3 linked regions of the Caenorhabditis elegans genome follow. The protein of the gene in region 1 purifies or fractionates together with the protein of each later gene. This does not show direct contact. Each region holds a gene or a part of one and is shown in the gene's direction. Other genes may lie near its edges.

The links.
Region 2: the proteins of F02E9.1 (region 1) and rmd-1 fractionate together in Caenorhabditis elegans (co-fractionation; one large-scale study listed by BioGRID). This does not show direct contact.
Region 3: the proteins of F02E9.1 (region 1) and F48E8.3 fractionate together in Caenorhabditis elegans (co-fractionation; one large-scale study listed by BioGRID). This does not show direct contact.

The regions. Positions count from the first base shown.
Region 1 is NC_003279.8:8,405,073-8,408,196, forward strand, and holds F02E9.1 (Vacuolar ATPase assembly protein VMA22), read left to right. Parts: upstream 1-1,755; 5' UTR 1,756-1,853; coding exon 1,854-1,939; intron 1,940-1,989; coding exon 1,990-2,058; intron 2,059-2,110; coding exon 2,111-2,195; intron 2,196-2,249; coding exon 2,250-2,402; intron 2,403-2,445; coding exon 2,446-2,517; 3' UTR 2,518-2,573; downstream 2,574-3,124. Other genes in the region: F02E9.3 (Suppressor protein SRP40-like), read right to left, coding at 1-63, 426-883; Protein lin-28, read right to left, coding at 3,089-3,124.
Region 2 is NC_003281.10:9,757,403-9,760,940, forward strand, and holds rmd-1 (Regulator of microtubule dynamics protein 1), read left to right. Parts: upstream 1-1,691; 5' UTR 1,692-1,748; coding exon 1,749-1,751; intron 1,752-2,141; coding exon 2,142-2,570; intron 2,571-2,627; coding exon 2,628-2,876; 3' UTR 2,877-2,982; downstream 2,983-3,538. Other genes in the region: vps-53 (Vacuolar protein sorting-associated protein 53 homolog), read right to left, coding at 1-112; gcc-2 (GRIP and coiled-coil domain-containing protein 2), read right to left, coding at 392-462, 947-1,163, 1,207-1,343, 1,411-1,462, 2,983-3,538. UniProt on the Caenorhabditis elegans protein: Acts in chromosome segregation and organization during mitosis.
Region 3 is NC_003281.10:5,459,380-5,464,933, forward strand, and holds F48E8.3 (fumarate reductase (NADH)), read left to right. Parts: upstream 1-1,999; 5' UTR 2,000-2,036; coding exon 2,037-2,183; intron 2,184-2,589; coding exon 2,590-3,514; intron 3,515-3,872; coding exon 3,873-3,997; intron 3,998-4,380; coding exon 4,381-4,665; 3' UTR 4,666-5,003; downstream 5,004-5,554. Other genes in the region: F48E8.2 (E2F-associated phosphoprotein), read left to right, coding at 5,019-5,179.

The DNA.
Region 1 (3,124 bases):
GTCAGAACAGGTGAACTTGTGGTTGTCGATGATTTTTGCGATTTGGAAGATTGTGAAGACGATCTAAAATTTTCAGATTACAATGATTTTTGTTTTCACAAGAGTACGGAGATTTTCCGATATTTCTTTTTATGCTTTATCATTTGTGGTAGAAATCTGATTGAACACGTAGAGGGCGACGTGTAGAAGAATAGAGATATAAGCAGGCAAGTAGGCATACAGTCATGAAAGCAGCTAGGCATGGATCTGAAGAATGCCTGGAGACGTGTCATGTCAGCCTTCCAACGTCTTCCTTCCTACTACGTATCTACATATCTAGCTGCGTACCTACCAATTCCTGCCTGTCTATCTACGTGCCTACATCGCATCAGCCTTCCCACTTGCCTATATCATGCCTGCCCATTCTTAAAAGATCAAAAACTCACAAAATGTCGGTCTTTGCCAAACTGTGCGGACACGTGGTTCCAATTTGGAATCGTTTTCTAATTTTACAGTTTAAAATCTTCAAATCCTCCAAAATCTGCATTGTTTCATCATCCAAATAGTCAGTTTTGTCTTCACGTCTGTTGAATTGACTCCATTTCTTTGATACGTGGATTGCACGTGACGTCATTCGTTTTCCATGTTTCGATGATGACTTCGGTTTGCCTTCTTTTGATTTGCGATCTTTTTTGAGAGTTTTGAGATTCAGAGATGAGTTTCTTGATGGAGGAGACGAAGATGATTTAGATGAACGAAGTGAATCATTAATATTCTTTCCTTCAGGTTTTACTGAAACTCTCAACATTTCCTCTTCCATATCATCATTGGCTCGCTTGTAATAGATTGTGAGACCATCTGGACGACGATCAATACGAGTTGTTGAATGACGTCTTCGAATCATTTTGGACTCACTTATTCGACTTCTGAAAAACTTTTCATGAAATAATGCTTTTGGATTGTTTTTAAATAGTTTTTTGTGGTACTGTAGCGCCAAAATTACGAAAACTTTACACAGCTTAACGCAGTTTAAAAAGCATCAAAATCGGTTTAGATGAAAAGTCTATTTGCTGATAAAATTAAAAGTTTTCAAGTCGATTATCGATATCCTCGTCATTCACTGGTAATCCATATTTCAACTCTAGAGCATCAAGAATACCAAAGCATTTTGTCGTGAGAACCGCTATGTTTGCGTACTAATGGCGTTACCGTATTCCTCCACAGTAGGAACCTATGCCTTCGCCTGCCTCGTGCCTACCAGCAGCCTAGAGCCTTGCTTTCTTTATTCTGATTTTCAACAAAACCAATCGAAATTACTACAACTGTAGCATCAAACACAAAGTTCACGAAGGTATTAAGTATGCAAGTAGGCTTGAAGCAATGCCAACGACGGAAATCTCAAACCCGAAAGAAATCTGATTAAAACTTACGATTTGAGTGCAAATCTTCTCGTTTTGCGATCGCCAACGAAATAACTTATAAGAACTGAATTGTTTTGTTTCTGGATTATTATCTCACACGTAATCTCTCCGACCTTGGGTTTTTATAGAAAAAAATTAATTTAAATACTGGATTTATATACATTTTATTGTTAGCTTCAACTTTTCCAAGATTGTTCAGAAATTTCCGATTATTTAAATTAAATACTCTAGGACAAAATGTTGTGTGACCCATCGACATTTCTAATTTGAATTCCCTCGGTTTTCATTAGCATTGTGCAATAGGGCGCACTTGCTGTTTCAACCAATTTTTGATCGTTCTCTGCTTTTTTCAATCATTTTCTCTTTTTCCTTACTGCTTTACAATAAAAGCGTATATTTCCAGTGATGCCTGCGCAATCAATAAATCAGAAAAATGATTTATACCTCGAAAAAATGGAATTAATCGACAAATTCATCACCCTTCACGATCAACTTCGAAAAGACTTGAACTTGGCAAGTTTGTGTATTTCTAAAGCAAAGTAAGTTTTATTCGTTTCGTAAAATGAATCTTTATCGAGAAATTGTTCAGAACAACGCACGGAATTGGTCTTTTCAGTGTTAATTCTGTCGATACACACGATTTGGAGCCATCTATCAGGTATAAACTACTTTTTTTTGAATTATACTTACTTAAGTGTATTCATTTTTAGATTGGATACGAAAAACGGGAAATTTGTACTTCTCAAAAATTCAGAGAATGAGGAAGAGAAAAACGACAAAAAGAATAAGAAAAAGGTTTTTTGCAATCGTTTTTTGTTCCACAAAAATTTACATTTAAATTTTTTGCAGAAGGACGAGAATAAATCAGAAAAGAAGAATAGCGGAGAATCAGAAGACGTTGAAGAAGCCAAAAAAACATTTTCTGGACAATTCCGTCCGTTTGGGGTTCTTGAGCCGGCTGCTGCAAAGGACGCTCGAAAAATTTATAGAAATTCTATTCAGGTATTGAAAATCTCAGGAATTTAATTTCAAATCCATTTTTCAGACGATTCTCGACCTTGTATCCACCCAACAATCAATTCTTGCCAAATCCCGCCAACTTGTTGAGGATTGTTAAATTGCATGATTCTGTGATAAATATGTATTCAATCAATATAAAAACAAAACTCTCGATTTATTTCAGCGTTCGCCCGCAATAGCGGAACTTACGAGTAGAGATTTTCAGAGAAAATGATGGATTTCAGCAAGAAATACATGAACATGAAAAGACACGAAAGTTAAATATATTATAAGATTTATAGATCCTGAAAACAGGTGCAATCAGTTCTATTTGAAAAAAAAAAGAATCCCTGAGAGTGCAATTTGAGGAGGTAGGTGGTAGTATGGTTTAGAGGGGAAATTTGAGTAAAACAATTGAAAAAAAAACATCAAAATTTGAATAAAAAAAGAGTTAGTGTGTAAGTTAAAGTAACGCATGCAAACTGAGAATTAGATGAGACAGAAAATGAAATAAATATTGGTTTCAAAATAAAATACATTTCAAAAGCTGAAAAACTATCAGAAAGCTCAAAATTATTTCCTAAAATTTTCACATTTAAATTTGGATGTTCAAGAATTTCGAGACAAAATCTATTTGAGACCATATATTCCATTATTTCTCTATCAATATTCTCAGTGTCTAGATGATTCTATTCATCAGAGGAATTACTATTCTTTTCTCTAAT
Region 2 (3,538 bases), on another chromosome or scaffold:
TTTGTGCCATCAGGCTCATATTAGGTTTGCAGTATTCTGTGATGCACATATCGCTTATCTCATTCATTACATTATCTGAGAGTTTCAGCTCACTAGTGGTCGGTTCCTCCATCTGAATAGGACTTTTCTTGAGATTAAATTTATAATTTCAAAGATAAAATAGTATTTAAGAGCGCCAACAACGCATCTGATATTAAAAATAAATACATAATCCGAAAAACAAACCATACTCTGTTCATTAAAAGTAGTGAAGTCACACAATAAATCACCTATACATTGAAAGAATAATTATCACACACAAAAGAAACAAGAAATGGGCACCCGGTTGAGCATGCAATACATAATAAAAATAAAATTGTACAATCGAATATGTTATGAAAATCTGATAATTTCAAGTGGCAGCACCAGACCATCCCGAGAAGTATGAAGACCACGAGCCTGCCTGAGCGGTTGCCATATGTGCTGAAAAAAATAAATTCGAAAAAAAGTTGAACGATTAATCCGTAAGTATTTAGTAGTGGAGGTAGTAAATTCTATTTTGGAAAATTTTCGAAAATAAATAAATTTTTCTGAAACGCCGATTTAAAGGCGCACCGATTTATTAATGCCGATGGGTAACACCGCGATAAAAAAGTTTATGGTAGCAGCCCAATTTTTGATTTTTTGAGACTTATTTCCGAAAATTGAGAATTGTTTTACTTGTTTTTAAAGTTGTTTTCGTCTTCTCCACCTAAATAACGCCCAACTAGTAAAAACACTAAACCTTCGCGATGTTGAAATACTTTGAGAAGGCGGGACAATACTTTTGTTGATATTGTTCAATATTATTGCCTCTCTTCCGCCAGCCGTTGGCTATTGCAGAGAAATAGTTGTCCACCACAATCTCTTTCAGCGCTTTCTCTATTCCTCTTTTATCTGTTTTATAGCCTGCTCTGGGTGCTCTCACCTGATGCAGCTTTCAGAATTTCGACTTCTTTCGGTGACAAATGTAGAACTCTCTGCAGTACGATAACCAGCTGGTCTCGTTCTGCGGGAACACTTTCTGGCTTGAGAAACTGTACAAATACGTTCTTCAAATATTCCATATTTTTCTCGTTTGACAACTCGGCTTCTCGCTTTTCTTCTCGTTCCAGTCGGCGAATTTCATCTTTTAGCAGTGAATTCTAGAAATTTAAATATTGATTCTAAAACTTTTCCCAATTCTACCTGAGTTGTTAACCTTCCATTTGCAGTCTCGGCATCACTGAGAAGCTCTGCGACGTGATGATTTGTTTTCTTCAAATTCTCTAACTGGTCTAGAATGACCTTGAATTTCTCCTCCGATAGTTCATCTGATTCGACTCCTGCAAGTATTTCGAAATAAGTAACTTTTTAGAAAACAATCTTATTTATATAAAATATAAAACTAACTGTATTCATCACCGAGATCTCCATACAAAACATCCTCCAGTGACCGATCAGGCTGAAAAAAAAAACAGGTTTTTAAAAAGTAGTTTTCGTAGGAATGACGAACTTTCTGAGGCGCGTGGCACAATATTTTTTATATTATTTATCACTTTTTCTCAATGTTTCTCCAGAAAATTCGGTTTTGATCTCTGAATGTTCATTTTTGTTTTGTTGCGCGCGCGCGCGCGAGAAATTGACCCGCGTGTTTTTCCAAATTTGTCGAATATAAAAGAAGCGTTTTTCAGTCATTATCTTCTCGTCTGATATCTTTTATTCGACTACTTCTACTAACATCCCCAAAAATGGTGAGTTTTTTTTTGCTTTTCACTTCAACATTTCTTTAAAAACCGGCTAATTTTCACTGAAATCTCCCAATTTTTTCAACTTTTCCGCGCCGCTGTGACTTTTCCTTGATTATTGTTTTATTTTGGTGGTTTATCTCTTGTGATGACGTTTATTTCGATGTTTTAGGCCAGTAATGTGGCCTAAATAATCTAAATCAACGAAATAATATGAGATTAGATTCAATCTCCAACCGCAGCGACACGGAAAAGTTGCTAAAATTAAAGTTTTAGGTGAAATTTGTCACTTGTCGAATAGAATAATTTTTTTGAGTAATCTCATTACGAAATTTAGCACGTTTTTAATTCAAAACCTTCTTTTAATCGATTAATTTCAATTTCTTTTATTTTCAGGAATCCTTTGCCACCTCGGACAAACTCTTTGAAAGCCGCGAGTTCGTCAAAGGACTCGAGGAGCTGAAAAAGCGACGTGAAGATGGCGAGATGACTTGTGATCTTCTCTGGAGAATGTGCCGCTTCTGCCACGAACTTTCGACGACGATGAGCGGAGAGCAGCGACGAAAGATGCTGATCGAAGGACGCGACTACGGATTGGAAGCCATGGATCTTGATCCATCAAGCTTCCTTGCCGCTAAATGGACTGCCATCATGTTCGGACTTGTTGTCGATCAACTGCCAACTAAGGAGAAGATCAATGACGGTGGACGGCTCAAGGACATGCTCGACAAGGCTCTCGAATTGGATCCAACCGACTTTGCTCTTCTCCATCTTCGTGCTCGCTTCTCTTACACCATCGCGAACCTTTCATGGCTTGAAAGAAAAGTGAGTTTCTTATAATCTTTTGTCTTGAATTCTTCCGAATAACACTCTAATTTCCAGGCAGCTTCAATGCTCTACAGCGAAGTTCCAAAAGCAACGATCGACGACGCTCTCGTCGACTTCAAAGCCGCCTACAACCAAAACGCTGATTGGATCGAGAATTTGCTGTTCCTGTCGAAATGTCATCTTGCCAAGAAGGAGAAGCAGCAAGCACGTGAGATGCTGAACAAGGCGATCGTCTTACCTGCCGCTTCATCGAATGATGCTCAATTCGTCACGGAGTGCAAGTCTCTTCTCCAAAAATGCTAATTCGATCTATTTGACTACGGTTTCTTATTGATTCCTGCCCCCCTCTCTCCCCAATTAACTTCATATTTTGCATCAATGAATTTTTCTGTAAATAAAGAATTTTTACCTGTGTTGGCTCATCATAACAAGAAACAGAATCAGAAGGAGCAACTGCTGGTCTTTGATAATGAAGAGGTGGAATAGGATGTTCTGGAAGCTGAATCGGCTGAGGTACGACAGCTGCAATAGCTTTCTGCTGCTGGTGTTGATTGCTTTGAATTCGACGAGTTTCAAAGTCATTTCTCAACTCTTGTAATTCCTTTTCTAGACTGTGAATCTGCTTTGTTGCACTTGACAGCTTGCTTTTCAGACTTCCATTCTCATTTTCACTTCTTTGCCTCTCATTCTGCAGAAGATGATCTACTTTTTCCTTTGCGATCTCTATATCTTTAATCTTTTGTTCAGCAGTATCACGAGATGATCTCATTAATCTCAATTCTTCGTCCAATCTTTGAATCAACTTCGAAGAGCTCGACTGAAGTTCGTCAATTGCCGTAGTGTGAGCCTTTTCTGATTCGGTGAGTTCTGATTTGAGAACTTTTAGAGTTTTCTCAAGTCTTTCTGCTTTGTCACGTGAAGAAGCCAAATCTTCGACAGTTTTAAAATGCTCCTGCCTTGTCTGA
Region 3 (5,554 bases), on another chromosome or scaffold:
AGTCCCGCCAAATTTATGAATTGTATTTGCGGCATGGCCGAGCTTTCTCTTCCGCGGCTACGTTGCTAATGTTTTTTTGCTAAATGTACAGTGCTCCACATAATGATACGGCCACCCCCAAATTTTGGTATAACTCAAAACTGGGTTGAGATAGCAAAACATAGTTTCTTGTGAAAATGTTCGCTGTACTGGCTAACTTTCAGTTAAGTATTGGAAATATACCTGAACCGTTTGTAAAAAATATAAACCATTTTTTCATGAAAAACCATATAAAAAATCCACAAAATGATACGGCCACCCTTGGTTTTCGTTTTCTTTTTTCGTTTTCTTTGCAATTTTTTTTGCTAAACGTTAAGTTTCATGTTCGTTTGTGTTTTTACAGCTATGGGTCGTGGAATAACTTCAACTGACTACGAAAAAGGACAAATTGTGCCAAATTATCTCAAGGCTTCTCGAATCGTCAGATTTTTCGTGATTTGAAACTTTCGAGAGATATGATCACTCGATATGCTTCCAATCCTGCCGCTTATTGCACAAAAAAGTCTTCTGGTCGCACACCTTTTCTTTCTGTCAGACCCAAAAAAAAAACCGTTCGTCGAGCATCCAATTGAACAGTGACTTGCTCGAAAAGTAGGAGCGAGATGAACCTGGCAGTGTCTGTTGAGGCCGTACGACATGTTCTTTTGAAGTCTCAGTTTAACAAAAGACGAAAATTAAGAAAGGCTCCATTCATTACCAAAAAACCGCCAAAACCGTATTCAGTTTGCTAAAATCAGTCAGGGAACTAACTGAAGACAAGTGAGGATTACGGTATAATCATTCAAGCCCAGTTTTTGGTTTCAGTTCATCTTTTCTTTTCTCAAATCGTGCCACTAATCACGGTAGTAATCTGGTTCATTACAGTTAAACTTTTTCTCGTCACTGAAGATGAACTGAAACCAAAAACTGGGCTTGAATGATTATACCGTAATCCTCACTTGTCTTCAGTTAGTTCCCTGACTGATTTTAGCAAACTGAATACGGTTTTGGCGGTTTTTTGGTAATGAATGGAGCCTTTCTTAATTTTCGTCTTTTGTTAAACTGAGACTTCAAAAGGACATGTCGTACGGCCTCAACAGACACTGCCAGGTTCATCTCGCTCCTACTTTTCGAGCAAGTCACTGTTCAATTGGATGCTCGACGAACGGTTTTTTTTTTGGGTCTGACAGAAAGAAAAGGTGTGCGACCAGAAGACTTTTTTGTGCAATAAGCGGCAGGATTGGAAGCATATCGAGTGATCATATCTCTCGAAAGTTTCCAAATCACGAAAAATCTGACGATTCGAGAAGCCTTGAGATAATTTGGCACAATTTGTCCTTTTTCGCAGTCAGTTGAAGTTATTCCACGACCCATAACTGTAAAAACACAAACGAACATGAAACTTAACGTTTAGCAAAAAAAATTGCAAAGAAAACGAAAAAAGAAAACGAAAACCAAGGGTGGCCGTATCATTTTGTGGATTTTTTAAATATGGTTTTTCATGAAAAAATGGTTTATCTTTTTTACAAACGGTTCAGGTATATTTCCAATACTTATCTGAAAGTAAGTTAGTACAGCGAACATTTTCACAAGAAACTATGTTTTGCTATCTCAACCCAGTTTTGAGTTATACCAAAATTTGGGGTGGCCGTATCATTATGTGGAGCACTGTAGTATCGATACTACTAGATCAAAAGTAAATGTGAATAGTTACGGTTATGAATTATTGATTGTTTTTCCCCATCACTTTTTTTTCATGCTTCCCAGATGCCTTATCCATGTGAATATATTTATTCAAAAATCAGCTTTAATTTATTTTATATTTTCCCTTTTTTTCGGTTTTTCTCCTATGTTAGACATTCCATAAATAATGGGTTTTTAAAAAATAATTCTGTCTAATTTTTTCGGCGGTTTTAACCAATTTTCTATCATTTTCTATAATTTCCCTTTGTGTCCGTTGTTGAAATTTCCCCATTGACAGACATTTGATGATTCGGGTGCTCATTTCGCTTACAGTTATGGCTTCTGTGCTTCATGCTGAGCCAACTGTCGTTGTTGTTGGAGGTGGGCTCGCCGGGCTGTCTGCTTCACTGGATATTATCAATGGAGGTGGACGTGTGATTTTGGTAGAGGGAGAGGGAAATACTGGTGGAAATTCAGCGAAGGTAAGATCTTGCGAATTTTTGAAAAAAATCTATTTAACTTCTGGAAATATCGATTGTTAAAATTTATTTTCTCGCATTTTTTTGTTCCAAATTTCTGAAAAAGTTATTTATTTTACTATTAGTTGCAAATTGTGAAAAAAAATAATATTCTGTTTTTTTTCCTTTAAAACTGAAACGTCTCTGAAAAAATATGATAAATTAAAAAATTTCGATTGTAAGAAATTTTCAAATTTAAAAACAGTTAAATCGTGTGAAAAAGCTGGAAATAAAAAAAAAGAGTAACAAATTCTCGTTCTGAAAAATTTCAAAATTAAGTATGCCAAATTACAGTAAAATGTTTTAGTAAGTCTAGGTGATTTTTAAAAAAAGTGTCCAATATCCTCACTTCTTGAAAAAAATATTCCAGGCATCCAGCGGAATCAACGGTGCTGGAACCGAAACTCAGGAGAAACTGGGAATCAAAGATTCGCCGGAACTTCTTGTCAAGGACACTCTGAGTGCAGGAGACTCTGAAAATGACAAGAAACTTGTGGAAATTCTGGCTGCTAATTCAGCAGATGCTGTTGAATTTCTGCGTGGAGTTGAAGTGGATCTGACTGATGTGAATCTATGTGGTGGGCATTCTGTACCACGTACTCATTGGATTCCATCTCCAAAGGAAGGACGACCAATACCAGCTGGTTTCGAAATTATGAAGAGATTGAGAACAAGGCTTAATGAGAAGCAATCGGAGAATCCAGAAGCCTTCAAGCTTTTGACTCAGACTAAAATGGTTGGAATTTTGAGAGAAAATGGAAAAGTATCGGGAATCGAGATTGTAACATCAGCTTCTGGAGAGAAATCAAAGATCATCGGAGACGCTGTAATCCTTGCAACCGGTGGATTCTCTGCTGATGAAACTTTGCTCAAGGAATTTGGAGCTGAAATATTCGGATTCCCAACAACAAATGGAGCATTCGCTAAAGGAGATGGTGTGAAAATTGCGAGAGCTCTTGGAGCAAAGATTATTGGAATGGAAAATATTCAGATTCATCCTACAGCGTTTGTAGATCCAAAAGATCCATCAGCAGGAACAAAGTTCCTGGCGGCTGAGGCTATTCGTGGAAAAGGAGCTCTGCTTATTAACTCAAAGGGACAAAGATTTGGAAATGAGTTGGGAAGACGCGATTATTTAACTGGAAAGATTCTTGAGCTCGCTGAGCCAATTGAAGAGAGTTTCCAAGGAGGATCTGCTGGAAGAAATGCGGCGATTATGATTATGAATGAAGCAAATGTTGAGGCTTTTGGCAGACCTGCTTTCAATTTTTATTCGATTGTTAAGAAATTCTTTGGTAGGTTTTTTTCTGTGAAAAAGTTGGAAAACATTTTTTAAATTAGTTGTTTGTTATTTGAAAAATCCCAAACAATTTTTTTCAAATTTCATTTTTTTTTTCGAAATCCATTAACACTTCTCGAGAATAAGTTCGACAAAATCTTCGTATTAAAAATTCCCAGTTTAAAGATTTTTTTGTCGAAAATTTTATCAGCTTCCTTTTTTTTGGAGTTTAAAAGCATTTTAAATCCAAAACTAATTTTTTTTTCCGGAATTTCTGAAATTTTTAAAAATTCCCTTTTTCAAATTAATTTTTTTAATTTTTAGTTTTATATTATGAAAATTGTATTATTGCTCTGAAATCTGATTTTTTTCAGCGAAATACGAGAACTCCGCGGAGCTTGCAAAGGCTTTGGGTATCGACGAATCAGCTATTAAAACCACTTTGGAGGAATATCAGAAGAGTTTTGATGGAAAATCTGAAGATCCTTTCGGCAAAAAGGTATTCAAATATTTTTAATTTTAAAATTCTTGAAAAAATGACTAAGAATTCTGAAAAGTTGATCAAAATTGCATTTACTTTTAAAACAGACTTTATAAAATCAGAAAAGTGAAAGAAAAACTAAAATTCATAGATTTAGGAAAAATTGTGCTGAAATTGTATTATTAGAAACTTTGAGTAAAACGTTGAAAAATATCGAGAAAATCTTTCCCCGAATATTTGACGATCTATTTTCAATTTAAACTTTCCCAAGCCTAAATTTTTTTTCAAAATTAAAAAAATATCGTTCAGCAAAAAAAAATATCGAAACTGTAAAAACAAAGTTATTTTTGCATCGGAATTAGCCGAAAAATACCGAAACTGTAATAATTTCCCATTTCCAGGTGTTCCCAGTGTCTGCAATCTCTCCGACTGAGCCAATCTACGCAGCAATCGTCGTCCCAGCAATCCACTACACCATGGGTGGCCTGAAAATCGACGAGGCCACCCGCGTCATCGATGAGCATGGCAAGCCAATTGTCGGCCTTTTTGCCGCTGGAGAAGTCACTGGCGGAGTTCATGGTTCCAATCGATTGGCTGGAAATTCCCTGCTTGAATGTGTGGTGTTTGGCAGAATTGCTGGAAAATCTGCGGCTCAATCTGCTGCGGAGACTCGTACCGAGCTCTAATTCGAATATTTTTACAGAAAAAACTCAGTTTTGTGGCTCAATTCTACAGTATAATTCAGAAATTTTCAGTTAAAAAAAACATTTTTTCGCGATCCGGGATTCCCGGACCCCTGTAGATAATGATTCATTTACTAGTTCCAACCAACTTTATATGTTTTTATTATATCTACTACTCTATTCAGCATTTTTATTTTTCTTGTGATTTGCATCTTTATGGGTTCTTCTACACATATATTTATTTCTCATTTTCTCTTCATTTTCACACTCTCTCGTATTTATCGTGTTTCCTTCTTCGTATTGTGGTGTGTTTTTGGGTAATAAATGTGTTTTATTTTCAGAAGAAGCGGCAGACGATGATGATCAACGATGACGATGAGACGTTCGATGACCAATATCCAGCAGATGAAGTGACCGCAGCAACGATGCGTAGACTTGCTTTTGAAAAAATGGATGATGATTATTATCTCGGTGGAGCTGTTGGGGATGAAGTTTTTGATTCAGAGGATGATGTGAGGTAAATACACTGGAAAATGGGAGAAATTGTAATCAATGCCAAAAAAAGGAAATGCACAGCGTAAAAATTTTGGAAAAAAAAACTATTTTTCACTAAAATCACATGAATTTCTAAGTTTCCACCTTTTAAAAAAATCAGACACCGCTCGCAGGTTACGGTAGCAGTAATCCCCGACGCAGCTGAAATTCTTGCTACAGTACTCCATGCAGAAGTATTCAAAGAAAACGACCTTTTTTGGTTACTGTAGCTAAATTTTAATATGTTGGTTCAATAGAAAATCATTTTTGAGAAATATCCCTACTTCATCGAAAAATCAAGTTTTATTTCAAAACTATCCCGCTGATCAAACAAACACAGTATTCCTAGGCGAATCTA